Saccharomyces cerevisiae S288C: one gene and its partner. Each later gene encodes a partner of the first gene's protein in a complex. Each region holds a gene or a part of one and is shown in the gene's direction. Other genes may lie near its edges.

Region 1 (3,600 bases):
CAAAATGGAATGAAACGAGCGCTGGAGGCAAATGTTATGCATTTTCTAATAGTGCTGGACTATTAACACTCGAATACCTGTCATGAGATGGACTTTACGTAATAAATACAATTTGTGACATTGAACTATTGTTGACGAAAAAAACTATCTTTTTTTATTGAAATGAAAAAGGAATAAAATAGCCTAATGTAAAATATCGCCTGGCTAGCACTAATAACTTTGAGTATTGTTGCAGTTATTCCTGCCGCAAATTATGTATTAAAATTTATACAGATATTGTGCCATAACTTCAGTTAAGGGTAAATTATCAAATTCTCGATATCCGTGGTCACTTTATACGAGTTTCTCTTTCCGTGCCTATATTCCTCGCGATGAGATTGAGGTAGAAAAAATATCTGAAAAAGAGTTGTCAATATATTATCTATTATGTCCTTATAATTTTATCATTTAGATTGTTCATGAGGCCCACATTTTCATAGGATTGCTAATTAACTCACAAATATGGTTCAAGCTATCAAATTAAATGATTTAAAAAATAGGAAGAGAAAAAATGTGGAGGAAGAAAATGGCAGTGACGAGTCTGAAATTGACATTAGTAGCACCGATTCAGAAAATGAAGAAGAGCAAAATGGAGAAGAAGAGATCGTAAATATTGACTTCGATTTTTTCGGTGGTAACCCAGAAGTTGATTTTCATGCTTTAAAGAATTTACTGCGTCAGTTATTTGGTCCTCAAGAAAGTACCAGGATTCAACTAAGCAGCTTGGCAGATTTGATCCTAGGTTCCCCAACCACCACAATTAAAACAGACGGCAAAGAATCTGATCCATACTGTTTTCTTTCATTCGTTGATTTCAAAGCTAATCATCTAAGTGATTATGTCAAATATTTACAAAAAGTGGACATGAGACTTTCCACTTTCTTCAAAACTATGATTGATAGTGGTAATAAAAATTGTGCTTTGGTTCTCAGTGAAAGGCTGATTAATATGCCACCGGAAGTCGTTCCACCTTTATACAAGATTACGTTGGAGGATGTTGCCACGGCACTTGGCGATGACAAACATTATGACTTCTATATCATCGTCACCAGGAAGTATGAAGTAAATTTTGACACTGACGATGATACCGACTCTGGTAAGAGGAATAAAAACAAAGACGAAAGATCCAAAAAAAGGGTGAAGGCCGATGAAGTAGACTACTTTCATGAGGAGGACCGATTTTTTGAAAAATATGCCAAGATTCACTTCGAATCAGAAGCTAAAAAGGGTGTTATCAGCTCATACATGATTCTTGATCACGAAGGCCTTGTCAAAAGTATCGATGAATTGGAAACAGAAATTTCCACTTGGTAATTTTACGAAAAGTAAATAGTTGCGATCACTGCCCTGCACAGTTAGTGCAATTTGTATATTATTAACAGACGAAGCAGCAGCGGCCATTGAGCCTTTATGTCATCCTACACGGATAATTTTGGGCTGCCGAGGACAGTAAAAATTAATCCGCCACCGCTGAAAATTTTTCTGGGCGATCATCTTTTTAATGTCGTGTGCTCCAATAAAAATACATAGTATATATTGTGCAAAGTGAAATCAGATTGTAATTCAAGAAAGGTCATTCACCCTGAGCCTTATAGAACATAGTCAGCATATAAGTGTTGAGCATTTTGAGCCGGGGCATACAGGTATTTGCGGCGTAACTACAAAATTTCTGGTTCTTCCCCCTTTCGAACCGTTAGAAGGGATAAGGATTTTTGCGTACTTGCTGCAGCCGCGAAATTTTCAAAGGCCGGCTATTACCCGTAGGCGTTAGCCGCCGAACAGATAGAATATAAAGATTATTTAGAGACATCATAATCAAAAGTACAGTTTCCGCCTCAAAGATGTCCTCACGTCCAAGTTCAGCAGTGCCTAATTCAGCATCACTCAGTGAGGACCAGAGCAGTGATAGAAGTAAATTTCCTAAGGCAGATGACTTAATTGATGAAAGAGATAGAAAACTGACCGAACTATACTGCGTATCCCGCTTGAACCAGCTGCTAGAGTTAACAGATGAAAACAAACTTCGGAAGGAAATAGATGCATTTTTAAAGAAAAACGATATACGAAGGGGTATAAGGTTTGACGAGGCGTCACTGCCGAAGCTCCTACATACAGCTGCGACTCCCATAACAAAAAAGAAATTGAAGGATGTAAATTTAATAAATGTACCTAACCAGAGGCTATCCGATTCTAAAATGAGTAGGGAACTGCCAGAAAATAGCGAAAATGTATCAGTCAAATCAGAGAGTCATTTTGTTCCAAGCCACGATAATTCAATCCGTGAAAATATGATGGATTCTTTGAGGCCAGCTGAAAAGACAGGAGGTATGTGGAACAAAAGGCCACTTGAGTCAACTATGGGAGGTGAAGAAGAGCGACATGAAAAAAGACAGAAGATGCAATCTCAGTCATTGGAATCTTCTAATAATTCGGAAATGGCTTCATTACCTATTTCGCCGCGTCCCCCAGTGCCTAATGCATTAGCACACTACACTTATTATGAGAACATCGAGTACCCACCAGCAGATCCCACTGAGGTGCAACCTGCAGTAAAATTCAAGGATCCGTTGATAAAGAACATTATGGCGAAAGAGATAGATACATCAGACCATTATAACGAGAACAATGTTGACGCATTAGAGACCGTATTTTTATTAATGAACGATTATATACCATCGAAAATACCCCAGGCTTTGCCCTTAGCAGAATTGAAGTACATGTCACAAACTCTGCCTCTTATTAATCTAATACCGAGAGCTCACAAGGCTTTGACCACTAATATTATAAACAACGCCTTAAACGAGGCCAGAATTACTGTTGTTGGCTCGCGAATAGAAGAACTAAGAAGACTTGGATTATGGTCTTTAAGACAACCTAAAAGATTCATCGATCCGTGGAAACAACACAATACGCATCAAAACATACTTTTAGAAGAAGCTAAATGGATGCAAGCAGATTTTAAAGAGGGCCACAAATATAAAGTAGCTATCTGCACAGCAATGGCACAGGCAATCAAGGACTACTGGACCTATGGGGAAATATGCTGTGTAAAACGTAAAACACTTCTACCTGGTAAGGAAAATAAATTATCTGACGACGGGCGCATATCTGAAAAGTCCGGTAGACCATCGGATACTTCAAGAAATGATTCCGATATTAGCATAGCCGGTAAGGATGACATTGGAATTATTGCGAACGTTGACGATATTACTGAAAAAGAAAGTGCTGCTGCTAACGATAATGATGAGAATGGAAAGAATGAAGCAGGAGCTAAGAGTGATTTTGATTTTGCAGATGGTTTGTTATCTCAAGAAGGTGCCCACGATCAAATTATATCTTCTATTGACACCAAGTTACTTCTAAAAAAGCCATCCTCCTCAAGCGAAGTTGTTTTAATACAACATGAAGTAGCTGCATCATCAGCGTTGATCGAAACCGAAGAATCAAAGAAAGAGCTAGCCCCCCCATTTAAACTTTCAATCTTTGTTGACGAACTCAATACTTTTGAAAAAACATTAATACAGGATTTACCGCTGTATAATGGTATTAATGAAGAACGGC
Region 2 (3,090 bases), on another chromosome or scaffold:
TGCCAGGCTTTTATTCAACGGTGGTATATCCCGGGCGTTCACTCTGCTCTCGAGGACTTTCACTAAATTTTTAATCATATCTTTATTACTTAACCGATGGTAGATGGAAAACTCTAGATTAGCAAACATATAACACCCGATTTTTTTATTTTCATTCAATCTTGGGTTCCTATCATTGAGGCATATAGTAAAGCTTCTATGGATAGTGCGTCCACATTCCTCAATTGAGTCTTTATTAAGTTCACTAGATTCGTTTGCCAGACGAATTAATTGTTTAGCCATTACCCACAGCGGATAAATTATCCAATTGGTTTCTCTTTCTACTATTCTGTTGAAAAGTTTCAACTGTTCATTGGCTAATCGCAGCAATTCCTCAGTAGCATTCTTGATCCGCCCTTGCTTCTTCAATGACCTCCGCTTGGAATACTTCAATTTTAGATCTACTCCTAATTGGTAAAACCTTTGTAATCGTACACTCTCTTCATCTGTCGCCGTAGGCCTTTGTAGTATATATTTAGTCTTTTTAGGTGTTTTAACGTCATATCTGATGAAGTCTAACAGTTTGTCGTCATAGCGTTTCTCTTCAAAATAACATCCTATATCAACATCCATGATTGGTTGTAGAAACCGTTGCTGGACCTTTCTGTTCCTGTGTAACTCTCTCCAGACATTCCTTTACATACAATTTTCTTTTTTTTTCCTGACCTTTATCGTTAGCTTTTTCAAAATCAAAAACAATACGATTGAGGAATACTACTAACTAGCCAAAAGCAATACAAAATACATCCATACATACGCCCTAAAGTAATGTCAGAAGACCAGCGTGTAATTAGTCAACCAATTGAATTACATAAGCTGTCGATTGTCGATAAACACTCCCAAGGACAGCAGCAACAGCCGCATCAAAAACAACATGAAGTGCAGCCTGAATCAAAATCACCAAGGGTTACGACACCTTTAAAGCCCAAAAGACTTGCTATACCTATATCAAGTCCGCAAAGATCTACGACAAATCAGTCACCCGTGAGCGACCACGCAAGTCCGATTTCAACAGACCAAGATTTAATATATAAATTAGCTGCAAAACACAGAGAAATCAATGAACTTAGTTTCAAATTAGAGGTCGCCCAAAAAGAATTAAAACAATTAGAGTTACAGTTCAAAGATACACTGCCCCGAAATGGACAACAGAAATTAGGTAACCAGAACCCAAGTGAATACCTCTCTACTTTTACCAAAAGAATTCAACAGACATTTGTGGACGTAAATAATTCACCAAATATGCTCAAGGGAAAAAAGAGTATAAACGATTTTTTTAGTAAGCCCAATAATAATGTTAATAGCAACATAAATAACACTCTACCCAATCGTAAACCGAACCCTCCGCCTAATCGGTCACAACGTATGCAAAATATTGCTCCAAGCCGTAGTTCAGAATCAACTCCAACATCGGGTCCTCCCTTGCTACCCCCAAGGAATACTATGAAGAATGCTAATACCACGGCAACTGCTGGGGAGAACACACCATTCTTACAAAGAATACTTAACAAATTCAATCAAATGAATATGGAAGAGGACGAATTCGATGACCTTTTGGAAAAGAGGAAAAGTAAGAAAGATCACTATTACATAAAAGAAAATTTGGGTTACGAATACGATGAAGTACGCAGTGAAGACGAGGATGATGAAGAGTTTGAACCCATGGGTGACATACCCGTTCATTTATTTAAAAGGTAGCTAATGTCCACTATTGATGCTTTCTCAAGAGACCTTCATATGTAATATTCTCATTAAATACAAAGATTAAACGGCTTCATTTATGCATTCCTTTATTTAGGTAAATTTTTTTTGCCCGATTTTTGGTACTACTGCTTTCCTTTTTTAAATGTAATTGATATTTTTAAAAAAACCTCACATGTAGGCGATTAACCCAGGTCCTTCAACAACTTGCCGACTATGCCATTAAATTAATGATTAAAGGTGTGTAAAGCCACAACGAAAGCAAAGAATATACGTAAGATAAACATCTTTAGAGAACAGCCATTTTCCATCATCTTTCCGTTTGTTACCAACCTACGCCTAGAAGAAAATGACTGATGAGCTGAAAAGTTATGAAGCATTGAAAGCGGAACTAAAAAAGTCCCTCCAAGATAGAAGAGAGCAAGAAGATACCTTTGACAACTTACAACAAGAGATATATGATAAAGAGACCGAGTATTTCTCACACAATAGTAATAACAACCATTCAGGTCATGGGGGAGCCCATGGGTCAAAATCACACTATTCTGGTAACATCATAAAAGGGTTTGATACCTTCTCCAAGTCACACCACAGCCATGCAGATTCTGCATTCAATAACAATGATCGTATTTTTTCATTAAGTAGTGCTACGTACGTGAAGCAGCAGCATGGCCAATCACAAAACGACTAATGCGATAGCACACGTTGGTATTTACGTTGCTTGACCGCTCTAAAACATCTGATTGAAAAGAAAAAGAGAGAAGAAGGAAATGATTTCGACAGGTGACCTTTAAGTTCGATATACCTACATATTGGCTATTTCTTTTATTTTTCATTTTCTATAAAATATCTATATAAGTATTTTTATAACGATTTACTAACAAGGGCAAAATTTCAAAGGTCCCGTGCTCCCAGTCATTTTATTGGCTGGCGAATAAACGGATACAGATAAACAAAACAGAAGCACAGAAAAGGATATCCACCCATCATGATAAGCCCAAGGGTGAATACTCGAGTTTGGCAGAGATCAATTTCTCTTTTGAGCCCACAAGCGGCCAAGACGGAGAGTAATGTCGTAACTAAAGAAAGGACATATATCGAGAACTTAAGCAAGGATATTGCGACTTCCCGTTTCAGGCTAGTAGACGAAAATGGTAAAATTGCATCTATCACTGTTCAACCAGATATTCCAATTTGTATCAAAAAGGATTGCCTAGTTTCCATTCACAATTTGAACCATTTATCCCTTTCCTATAAATGGCTGAATTTTTGGTCAAACCTGATTAAATTTCGTTCATTCAAATCTTCATTGTTTCATAGAATTATTGGATCCTCCGTTTTAGAAATTCT

What was found. Proteins that work in one complex are often made in the same cells at the same time.
Region 2: EAF1 (region 1) and EAF6 share a complex: the UniProt entries of both Saccharomyces cerevisiae proteins name them as parts of the nuA4 histone acetyltransferase complex.

Annotation. Positions count from the first base shown.
Region 1 is NC_001136.10:1,193,165-1,196,764, reverse strand, and holds the start of EAF1 (Eaf1p), read left to right. Parts: upstream 1-1,880; coding exon 1,881-3,600. Other genes in the region: transcription factor TFIIIC subunit TFC6, read left to right, coding at 1-86; protein-transporting protein BCP1, read left to right, coding at 502-1,353. UniProt on the Saccharomyces cerevisiae protein: Component of the NuA4 histone acetyltransferase complex which is involved in transcriptional activation of selected genes principally by acetylation of nucleosomal histone H4 and H2A. The NuA4 complex is also involved in DNA repair.
Region 2 is NC_001142.9:581,255-584,344, reverse strand, and holds EAF6 (Eaf6p), read left to right. Parts: upstream 1-2,089; coding exon 2,090-2,431; downstream 2,432-3,090. Other genes in the region: YJR084W (uncharacterized protein), read right to left, coding at 1-612; ACF4 (Acf4p), read left to right, coding at 808-1,737; AIM24 (Aim24p), read left to right, coding at 2,729-3,090. UniProt on the Saccharomyces cerevisiae protein: Component of the NuA4 histone acetyltransferase complex which is involved in transcriptional activation of selected genes principally by acetylation of nucleosomal histone H4 and H2A. The NuA4 complex is also involved in DNA repair.